Macaca fascicularis: one gene and its partners. The protein of the gene in region 2 interacts with the protein of the main gene of each other region in a biochemical or structural test. Links are inferred from orthologs where the notes say so. Each region holds a gene or a part of one and is shown on either strand. Other genes may lie near its edges.

What was found.
Region 1: the proteins of EZR (region 2) and NHERF1 form a complex in vitro, tested with the Homo sapiens proteins (2 studies listed by BioGRID and IntAct). The link is inferred for Macaca fascicularis from reciprocal best matches to the Homo sapiens genes EZR and NHERF1.
Region 3: the proteins of EZR (region 2) and ICAM3 form a complex in vitro, tested with the Homo sapiens proteins (2 studies listed by BioGRID). The link is inferred for Macaca fascicularis from reciprocal best matches to the Homo sapiens genes EZR and ICAM3.

Annotation. Positions count from the first base shown.
Region 1 is NC_088390.1:81,139,043-81,141,786, reverse strand, and holds the end of NHERF1 (Na(+)/H(+) exchange regulatory cofactor NHE-RF1), read right to left. Parts: intron 1,710-2,744; coding exon 1,620-1,709; intron 1,389-1,619; coding exon 1,200-1,388; 3' UTR 504-1,199; downstream 1-503. UniProt on the Homo sapiens protein: Scaffold protein that connects plasma membrane proteins with members of the ezrin/moesin/radixin family and thereby helps to link them to the actin cytoskeleton and to regulate their surface expression. Necessary for recycling of internalized ADRB2.
Region 2 is NC_088378.1:67,101,770-67,105,875, forward strand, and holds the end of EZR (ezrin), read right to left. Parts: intron 2,356-4,106; coding exon 2,104-2,355; intron 1,920-2,103; coding exon 1,755-1,919; 3' UTR 557-1,754; downstream 1-556. UniProt on the Homo sapiens protein: Probably involved in connections of major cytoskeletal structures to the plasma membrane. In epithelial cells, required for the formation of microvilli and membrane ruffles on the apical pole. Along with PLEKHG6, required for normal macropinocytosis.
Region 3 is NC_088393.1:10,897,817-10,901,926, forward strand, and holds the start of ICAM3 (intercellular adhesion molecule 3), read right to left. Parts: upstream 2,861-4,110; 5' UTR 2,805-2,860; coding exon 2,729-2,804; intron 2,126-2,728; coding exon 1,859-2,125; intron 1-1,858. UniProt on the Homo sapiens protein: ICAM proteins are ligands for the leukocyte adhesion protein LFA-1 (integrin alpha-L/beta-2). ICAM3 is also a ligand for integrin alpha-D/beta-2. In association with integrin alpha-L/beta-2, contributes to apoptotic neutrophil phagocytosis by macrophages.

The DNA of each region.
Region 1 (2,744 bases), on a different chromosome or scaffold from region 2:
ACAATGGCCAGATAAGATAGAGGATCTGGCACCAGCCCAGCCTGCCCCTGGGAATCCTGCACCCACTGGCTGTAGGCAGAAAGAGTAAAGCCAAGTCCTTACATTCCAAACCCAGCTCCATCCTGGGACACACTTTCCACGCTTCTGGAATTACAGGAACCTCCCAGAGTCCTCTGAGCATGTCTGAGCTCCCACTTCCTCTGGTAAATGTCCCTATTAGTCGAGGGGTCCCTAGCCCACATCAGTGCTTACAGCCTGGGACACAGGCACGCTCAACACCGGCTGGGTACATGCATCCTCCTTCCCACAGGACTTCCGCAGCTAGGCCCTCTAGCTAAAGCTACTCAGGCTTGGGGTCACAGAGAGCCCTAGATGGCCCTCCCTCCAGTGTACGCCACCCTCCCAGCCAAAGACCACCCTGGCTTACCATTTCTCACTTTCTACCTATAAGGGGTCCAAGGCCAGAGGACAAAACTCCCAAGGAAGACACAGAGGCTGGAGGGTTTGGAGGAACCAGCTGAATTTCTGAAGTGTTTCCTTACAATGGTGGTACCTGGTTCAGGGATGGGCAGGGGTAGCCAAACCCTCCCCGTGCTGCCCAGTTCTCTGAGGGTGGGAGTAGGAACAAAAGTTTAAGGCTGAGGCCACTGCCATGCCCTGGATGCAACAACCAGGAAAATCATGTTAATCAAGGAAACAAAAATTCCTCTAGACTCTGCAATACTGCACTCTTAACAACAAAAATCAAATGAAAGCAAGATGTGTCTGCCACAGCTCTCAGGATAACGGATGCCCTGTCCACTGAGAGTGGCAGTTCTGCAGTCAATGATCAGCCCTGGACCCAGTTATCACACGGGGGAGGAAGGAAAGGTGCCCTCTCGCCTGGTCCCACGATCCTGGCATGGTGCAGGTCCCAGCGATATCCCAGGCAGAGTGGCAAAGGGACACCTGGTAGGATGAGGCACTCAGTGAGGAGGAGGGAGGCAGAGTCTCCTTTCTAATTGCAGGATGACGGGAACACATTCACCTTCCCTAAGGTAAGGGAAGAACATAGTTCTCTAGAAAAATCATTTGTCAAGAAAGGGCATGTGGGTGCTGATTTGTACGTTGATTCAGGGGAGTAACTGGGGAGAAGGAAAAAGGTGGGGTGGAAGGCTGGCTCGGCCCTGCCAGTCACCGGGTGGCTGGCAGCAGGGCGCTCAGAGGTTGCTGAAGAGTTCGTTTTTCTTGCTCCAGTCCATCTGCGGGGCCCGTTTGCTGCTGCGCTTCTGGTGGGCCCTCTCTTTGGCCATGGCCAGGGAGATGTTGAAGTCCAGGATGGGGTCGGAGGAGGAGGTAGACGAGGGCGCTGTGGAGTCCTGTTTTGGGGGGCTGTCTTGGGAATTCAGCTGTAAAGAGAAATGGGGGCAGGAAGTTGGGAGTCAGTCCCTCATTAGGCTCCCTGGTCCTCAGCCTCAGTGAGGTGGCTCCCTTGGGGCTGTGCCCAGGGAAGCCAGGTCACAAGAACAGAATGCGGCTCAGCATGTGACCTCAAAGGCAGGCTGGTGTGCCAGGAACAAGTGGGGCCTGGGAATCGGCTTCCTGTAACCCAGTTGCTACCCCCTGCATGGCTGGCCTACCTCCTCGCTGGTGTCACTGGAGGCGGATCTCACCAGGGTTGGCCTGGGGCTCTCTGAGGCTGCCTCTGCCAAGGCTTCACGACTGTTCTCCTGGCAGAGAGAAGAGGGGTGTGGGTTGTCACAGGATGGGGTGAGGGAGTCCTGAGGCAGGAGGGAGCTCCTGGGGAAGTAGGGGCCCCAGACTGAGAAGAGGTAGCACTGATGCCCTGGCCACCCACCCCGGGTTCCCACCGCCTGAGCCTGCTGGGGCTCCTTTTTACATTCCTTCGAGGATCAGAGGGCAGGCTGGTTCTGCTCAGGCTGGAGGGATGGGAGGGGTACAGATATCATGGGATTAGCGCTCCCTCCCCCTGGGCTGCTCCAATGTGGCTTTTAGATACTGACTTGCCTTTTGAGCCAGTGACCAGGGAGGGGCTTCTTGGAATGTGGGGACACTGGAGGCCTCTTTGCTTGGCATGGGGAACCCATGTGGTGCTCCCTGAATCTCCTGTGGTCCACCTGACTGTTTGCCTGGATTTGACCCCAGGAATCCTGAAACCCTAACCCTGAAGCAGCAAAGGAGGGCCTTGAAGGAAGAAAGTAGATGGAACGTTCTAGATCCAAAGATGAGGTGACAGAAGGTTTAGGCCTGGGTCCAAGGACCCTCCCCCTTGTCAAGTACCCTGGCAGGAGCTCCTAGGGAAGGGGAACCTTTGAGCAGACCCTGCAGAAAGTTCCTACTCTGTGGCCTGACTGAGTCGGCCTGTCCCAGAGTGAAGGCTTTGGCTGGGGCATCAGCTTGGCACCCAGCCCCTTCCTGGGTTCTTCCATGGCTTCAGCTGGCGCCCAGCCCCACCATCTCTTCCCCAGCCTCACCCCCTTTCCCTTCTGCCCAGGGAAGGGGGGAGGAGGGGCTTTGTTCTTCCAACTCAGACTGGAAGTAGCAGGGGCCCGGCTGCCCGTGGCCAGACACTGAAGCTCTGTTCTTGGGGGGAAGAATGGCCCCTTCTGTATGGTGGGGAGTTGGAGGCGGGGGCTTGTCACCCAGGATGGCGGGCTGCAGAGGGGCCCAGCCAGCCCTCTCCCTCCCAACAGCTTTGGCCCCAGGCAGAGGCCAAGAGGGTTCTGGCAGTTCTATAGCTTGGA
Region 2 (4,106 bases):
AAAAAAAAAAAGTCACAGCTTAAAGGAGCATTTTATTTTTTTGAGATGGAGTCTCCCTGTGTCGCCAGGCTGAAGTGCAGTGGCACAATCTCAGCTCGCTGCAACCTCCAACTCCTGGGTCCTAGCAATTCTCCTGCCTCAGCCTCCCAAGTAGCTGGGATTACAGGCATGCGCCACCACACCTAATTTTTGTATTTTTAGTAGACGGCCTTTCACCATGTTGGCCAGGATGGTCTCCATCTCCTGACCTTGTGAACCGCCTGCCTCGGCCTCCCGAAGTGCTGGGATTACAGGCATGAGCCACCGCACCCGGCGGTGAGCAGCATTTTAGAGGAGCCTGGTGAGTTGGAGTGTCCTCTCCCATGGAAACTGTCTCCAGAGGAGGTTAGGTGACCTACGGAGCACCATGTCTTGGGTTGGTCAGCTCTAACTTACCAGTGTATCCCCAGGGACACCATGGCCCCTCACAAAACCCAGCCGGAGGACAGCATAGAGCCCAGGCAAGTCGGCGGTGGCCCTCCCACCCCACACACAAGTACACAGCCATGCTGCTTCGTGCCTTTGCAAAGCTTTTATTTCATGTCTGCAGCATGGAATCCACCTGCACATGGCATCTTAGCTGCGAAGGAGTAAGCAGTGCACGAGAAGGAACGAGTGGGCAGAACCAATGGCCTCCACAAGCTGCCTTCCAGCAGCCTGCCAAGGCCATGGCAGAGACTACAAACAAACACAAGCAAACAGTCTCTCCATGGCTGGAGTCTGAAAGGTCATAGTGGCATGTGTGTATTTGACAAAATTAAAAATGTGCATAGTCCATTATATGCATAAAACACTAACAATAAAAATCCTGTTTACACGTGACTGCAGCAGGCAGGTAACCAGCTTCACCACTGCCCTCCTGCCACATCACATCAAGTGCCATGGTTAGAGGGTTTTTCATATGTAATTCTTTTATTCTGTAAAAGGTAACAAAATATACAGAACAAAACTTTCCCTTTTTAAAACTAATGTTACAAATCTGTATTATCACTTGTATATAAATACTATATAGCTGATCATTAATAAGGTGTATAAGTACAACAATGTATTCTAACTGTTAAGCAAAAAAACCTAAAAAAAACCTAAAAAAAACCTAAAAAAAATTTATCCAAGTGTCCTACATACACCACTCACGCTGGTGATCACTGCTCTCTGCCAGCTGCGTGGAGTGACGGAAGGAGGGAATCATTGTGTGTGTATGTGCCAGAGTGCTTCAAACTCAATTTCCCAAAAAAATTTTCACCCCTCAAAGCATGTAAATATACAAAGATGGATCCTTCATAGAAATTAAAAACAAAAACCAATTTGAGCTCATTTCAAATACAGAACAAGTATGGCACAGATGGAAGCCGCGGTTTCCTTTAACGATGCTGACTCTCGTATCACACAGGCCAGCATGAAGTTTCTTACTCAGACTTTACAGGCATTTTCCGTAATTTAATCAGTCCTGCTCCCAGCACAACACAGGAGGTGATTTGAGAATAATCGCAAGAATCAGGCCTGCTTGGCACTATGATACAACTGGGGAAAACCAACCAGGGCGCCTCCCTGGTTCCCAACCCAGAATGTTTCTGTTGGGTAACTGCTTTTTAAAGGAACTGGGCTTTTGGAGTTCCTAGACTCGGAGCACTAAAGACACAAGCGTGGCGAGGCTGGCAGCGCCGGCGGCAGCGCCCGCTGTGAGCGCCCCTCTGCCCTTGGTCCTGGCCTGGCCATTACAGGGCCTCGAACTCGTCGATGCGCTGCTTGGTGTTGCCCTGCCGGATCTGCCGCAGCGTCTTGTACTTGTCCCGGCCTTGCCTCATGTTCTCGTTGTGGATGATGTCATTGTGGGTCCTCTTATTCTCATCTCGGGCCTGGGACAGCTCGCTGCTCAGCGTCTGCAACATTAAGCAGCATTGGTCAGGTCCCTTCCTCCCCATATGGCCCAGCCCCTCCCCTAGGAAAATGGGAAGGGCAAGAGGGGTGCTAGGTGGGGCTGGCTCACATCACTGCCTTCCCCAAGCCTGTCTGCTGCAAGAGCAAGGCGGGCCCCCTAGAGACACACAGCCCCTTGGGCCTCACCAGCAGCTGCCGCTGCACACGCTCATTCTTCTCCGCCTCAGTGATACGCTTCTCCTCATTGCGGTCATCCCGGATGCCCTCACTAGACAGCTCTGCACTGTAGCCCGTGGGCTCCGCACCCTCATCCTGCAAGCTCTCCTGGACATGGTAGCTCAGTGGCTCGTACATGGGGGGTGGCGGGGGCGGGGGTGCCGTCATCACCAGGTGTAGCTCCTCCTTGGTCTTCACCAGGTCATCCTGGGCTTCTTTGGCCTTTGGAAAGCAAAATTAGTAGGTGAGAACTTCTCACCCAAAAGTCCTATCCTCCTGGCTATAAGAACCAACTGTTGCCTCCCTCTGTCCTGGCACGCTAAGGCAGCACTAAACCGTGCTGGGCCATGGCTTCGAAGAAGAGCCCCTCAAAGTGCATGTGGGGTTGACAACCCTCTGCATCCAAGACAGGAAGAGGAACTGTGATGCCGGAGCCTGGGCAGTTTTAAAACTACCATTTCTTTTTTTTTTCTGTCTATAACTCTAGACGTTATATAATTTTTAGGAAAAAAAATCCTGTTAAATGAGTAACAGGCTCTGTTCCCAGCCTCCCCTCATGCCACGGTCATTATCAAGTGGTCTCCTGCTCACCACTTGCAGTCCTTCCAACAGCGTCACACATGCCCAGTCCTGCCCGCCTCCATCCCAGCCCTGGAGTCGAGCTTAGTGTGGATCTGCGCTGGAGCCAGCTCTCCTCACTTACCTCTTAACAGGTACTTTCTCAAAAACCTAAGAACCAAAGTCTTCTGCTTGCAACTTCGGATGGTGATATGGCTGTGTCCCCACCCAAAGCTCATCTCCAACTGTAATCCCCACATGTCGGGGGGGGGGGGGTTTACCTGGTGGGAGTGACTGGATCGTGGGGTGGTTTCCCCTATGCTGTTCTCGTGCTAGTGGGTGGGTTCTGAGTGAGAGCTGATGGTTTCAGTGTTTGGCACCACCCCCCTTTGCTTTTCTCTCTTCTGCCCTCACGTAAGAGGTGTGCCTGCTTCCCCTTCACCTTCTGCCATGACTGTAAACTTCCTGAGGCCTCCCCAGTCATGTGGGACTGTGAGTCAATTAAACCTCTTCTTTAACTACCCAGTCTCAGGTAGTTCTTTACAGCCGTGTGAGAACAGACTAATACAGATCGGCAGCAGGAATGGGGGCTGGAACAAAGGCAAGGAGGCACTGGCCAGAAGTGGCCCTGGAGAGCCAGGAGACACGTCCCCAGAAGGCACCACCACAGATGGAGAAGCCACAGTGGGGGAAGGACAGGCCAGAGGATCTGTGAAGGAGAAGAGCTTCTTAAAGCCTGGTGTGCAGTCTCCAATGGGAACCATCCCCAGACTTTCTCAGGGGCTGTGCCTTCCTGGAGGGCAGAGGGGATCCCAGCTTCTCTCTCCCAGAGAGAAGCTCTGTGTGCGTCTCACAGTGACAGCTACAGCTGATTAAACCTCTGTTTGCCAGGTCCTGGGCATGGGACCTCACATCTGCAGAGCAACTTTATGAGTTGGGTATCACCCCCATTCTACAATAAGGAAAATGAGGCTGGGAGAGGTGATGCTACTAGCTCCCCGTCAGATAGCTGATGGGCAGCAGAGCCCGGCTCTTGCTCCAGCCGAGAGAATTCCAAGGACCTGGATCTTTTCATGGTGCCCGCTATATATACCAGCTGCAGGAGGTTGTGTTTCAGGCACTGCGACCCCATTGCAAGGTGCACATATATAATCAGATTTAAAACCAATTCAGATCAGCTGTCAGAGGAGGCTGTCAGATCAGCACTGAACAGTTTGGGGTGGAGGGAGCAAGGTCGTGAAAGTCAATCAGAAGTCCTCCCTCTATGAATCCAGCAGCTGCAATGACTCAAGTACAAAGTCAAACCCATCTCTTTGGGGATGTCTTTTTTTTTTTTTTTTTTTTTTTTTGAGACGGAGTCTCACGCTGTTGCCCAGGCTGGAGTGCAGTGGCGCGATCTCGGCTCACTGCAAGCT
Region 3 (4,110 bases), on a different chromosome or scaffold from region 2:
CAAGCTCCGTCGCCTCCCGGGTTAACGCCATTTTCCTGCCTCAGCCTCCCTAGAAGCTGGGACTACAGGTGCCCACCACCACACCCGGCTAATTTTTTTGTATTTTCAGTAGAGATGGGGTTTCACGGCATTTGCCAGGATGGTCTCGATCTTCTGACCTCGTGGTCCGCCCACCTCGGCCTCCCAAAGTGCTGGGATTACAGGTGTGAGCCACCACGCCCGGCCCCAGCTAATATTTTTTATTTATTTTTGTGGAGACAAGGTGTCCCTATGTTGCTCAGCCTGGTCTTAAATTTCTGGGCTCAAGCAATCTTCCTGCCTTGGCCTCCCAAAGTGTTGAGATTATTGTTGGGGTCAGGCAAGGTGGCTCACACCTGTAATCCCAGCATTTCGAGAGGCCAAGGTGGACAGATCACGAGGTCAGGAGTTAAAGACCAGCCTGGCTAACATGGTGAAACCCCATCTCTACAAAAAATACAAAAATTAGCTGGGCATGCTGGCGCATGCCTATAATCCCAGCTACTTGGGAGGCTGAGGCAGGAGAATGCTTGAACTGGGACCCGGGAGGCAGAGGTCGTGGTGAGCCAAGATGGCACCGCTGCACTCCAGTCTGGGCTACAGAACAACAGACTTCATCTCAAAAAAAAAAAAAAAACTTGTTGGGGCAGGGTGCAGTGGCTCATGCCTGTAATCCCAGCACTTCGGGAGACCAAAGCAGGCGGATTACCTGAGGTGAGGAGTTCAAGACCAGACTGGCCAACATGATGAAATGCCATCTCAGGCGGGCGCAGTGGCTCAAGCCTGTAATCCCCGCACTTTGGGAGGCCAAGATGGGCGGATCACGAGGTCAGGAGATCAAGACCATCCTGGCTAACACGTTGAAACCCCGTCTCTACTAAAAAAAATACAAAAAACTAGCCGGGCGAGGTGGCGGGCGCCTGTAGTCCCAGCTACTCGGGAGGCTGAGGCAGGAGAATGGCGTAAGCCCGGGAGGCGGAGCTTGCAGTGAGCTGAGATCCGGCCACTGCACTCCAGCCTGGGCTGGACAGAGCCAGACTCCGTCTCAAAAAAAAAAGAAAAAGAAATGCCATCTCTACTAAAAATACAAAATTACCCGGGTGTGGTGGCGTGCATGTGTAATCCCAGCCACTCGGGAGGCCGAGGCAGGAGAATCACTTGAACCCAGGAGGCGAAGGTTGCAGTGAGCCGAGATTGTGCCACTGCACTCCAGCCTGGGCAAAAACAGCGAAACTCTGTCTCAAAAAAAAAAAAAAAAAAAAAAAAATGCTGGTTGGGGCCCAAGTTAATTGATTTCACAACTGCTGCCTTGGCATGAGATTGAGATGTGTCTCTATGTCTTTGTTTTTTTTTTTTTTGTTTTTTTTTTTTGTTTTTTTTTTTGTTTTTTTTTTTTTTTTGAGACGGAGTCTCGCTGTGTCGTCCAGGCTGGAGTGCAGTGGCCGGATCTCAGCTCACTGCAAGCTCCGCCTCCCGGGTTCCCGCCATTCTCCGGCCTCAGCCTCCCGAGTAGCTGGGACTACAGGCGCCGCCACCTCGCCCGGCTAGTTTTTTGTATTTTTAGTAGAGACAGGGTTTCACCGTGTTAGCCAGGATGGTCTCGATCTCCTGACCTTGTGATCCGCCCGTCTCGGCCTCCCAAAGTGCTGGGATTACAGGCGTGAGCCACCGCGCCCGGCCTTGTCTTTGTATCTCACACACACAAATATCCAGGTCTGAGCTCTGGGTCAGAACCCTGGTCCATTCTTTGCAAACTGAGGGTCTCCATTCTCCTGAGCCATCGGCCACCTGCCCACACCACTACCCAACACCAGTCCCACCTCCGGACACATCGACTCACTGTACACGGTGATGTCAGAGAAGGCTGTTATCTGGGAGCCATTGCAGTACCCTGAACAGAGGATCCGACTGTTGCCAGTCACGTTGCTGAGCTGGAAGGCTGCCCAGCCCGTGCCATTGTCCACCAGCTCCTTTGATAGGGACGTCTCCAAGATGATTTTCTTAGAGCTGGGGCAATCAGTACTGCAGTTCACCAACAGGGACCCTCCAGCAGGAAACACAGGGTTCTGGGGCTCCACCCGCAGCAGGAACTCCTGCCCCTGGGCACCTTCAGGAACATGAAGAAATCCTGGTGTTCGTTTTGTTGCCCCCCAACCCGTGTATCAGCAGGCCCCACCATTTAACACCTCTTTCCTTGTGCCGAGATAGAAGGGTTCCCGCCCTCATGGTCCAGTGGGAAAGGCAGAATCCATCAGGGACCAGGGAGAACTCAGAAGGAGGCCAGAAGAGACTCTGATCCAGCATAGGAGGAGGTGAGTCAGGGAAGGCTTCCTGGAGGAGGGGACCATGCCAGCCTGAAACTGAAAGCTAAGTAAGAGTTAGCAAGTGAAAGGGACAGCTGATCCTGGCAGAGGGAACCACATACGCAAAGGGCAAATTTCAGGAGTTCAGATGGAGCAGGAAGCGTGAGGGGTGTGTGTGTGTGTGTGTGTGTGTGTGTTGGGGAAGAGGGATGGCGTAGAAGCCGTATGCTGGGGCCTGACCACCTGAAGGCAGAACTAAGGAACCAGAACTTTCTCCCGAGGATACGGGGTCAGCAGCCAGGTCGCAGTGTGGCAGGATGCAAAGAGTGTTGCATTCTCTTCCTCCACCTTCTACTGAGCCCCAAAACCCAGCCCTCTCCAGCCCTCCTGGGCTTGACCAGCCTCACCTGGGGTCAGCAGACAGCAGACCAGCAGAGTCCAGCAGGCCCCGGGCCACGATACGGATGGTACTATGGTGGCCATTCTGACAGAAGAAGGGGCCTTCCTGAGGTGCCCCAAGGGCAGGCAGGGGGAAAGGCGGGGCCTCCCACTGAGACGGAAGCACAGCGGTTAAGATTGCAGAAGTCTGGGGATTGCACCTTACCCAGGCCTGTGGGGAGAAGGGGATGCTATGGCCCTGGGGGGCTAGAATGGGGGACCCAGATGGGGCTCTGCAAAGTGGCCAGCACTGCTGAGTCTCCCCCAGGGACAGGGCTGGTCTCAGTTGCACTGCTGGCCCCCAGTTCCTAGCCAGGAAATGCTAACTGAACTGGCTTCCTTTGTTCTCAGCACTGGGAAGCCTGGGTGTGGGGGTATGAGGCATCTCCTTCCGGCTGAACTTAGGTGGGGAGGGGAATATTCTGTTCCCAGAGAGGAAGTTAATGGGGGAAACCTGTAGGCACCACTGTTTAGATGCTAAGGTGGGATTTCAAGGAAACATAAAACAAACAAACAAACAAACAAAAAAACCAGAAGCAGAGTCTTGCTATGTTGCCCCGACTGGTCTTGAGCTCCTGGCCTTGAGATGGCCTCCTCCCATCCTGACCTCCCAAAGTGTTGCGGTTACAGGCGTGAGCCACAACGCCTGGCCACCTTTGAAGATCTTGAGGACATCTCCCTATCTTTGAAGATTTTGGGGATCCCCCCTCCCATGCACGAAGAGCTAAGGTAGGTGATTTGGGGACAGCTGAGTCCCTGAGCCACTGTCTTTCCAGGATTCGATTTGGCTTTTGTTTTGTTTTGAAACAGGGTCTCACTCTGTTGCCCAGGCTGGAGTGCAGTAGTGGGATCTCGGCTCACTGCAGCCTCTGCCTCCCTGGTTCAAACAATTCTCCTGCCTCAGCCTCCCGAGTAGCTGGGATTACAGGCATGTGCCATCATGCCCGGCTAATTTTTGTACTTTTTGGTAAGAGATGGGGTTTCACCATGTTGGCCAAGCTGGTCTCAAACTTCTGACCTCAAGTGAGTCGCCTGCCTTGGCCTCCCAAAGTGCTGGGATTACAGGCATAAGCCACCTCACCCGACCTTCCAGGATTCTACTTGTAACTGGCCTTTACCTCATCCTGTTGCCCCCTTGCCCACCTTTCCAGGCAGCTGGTCACTTCATTCCAAGGGAAGGCACCAAGGGGACCAGGGGGGACTCCCACCTTTGACCTGCCGCTGACCTCAGGCCTCTGACCTGTCTTCTGGGCCTAACATCTGAGCACCAGAGAGGGACCTTGTTGAGGGCCTTGATGGAGCCCTGCATTCACCCACTTTTCCCAGACCTTGAGGTCACAGCACCTCCTCT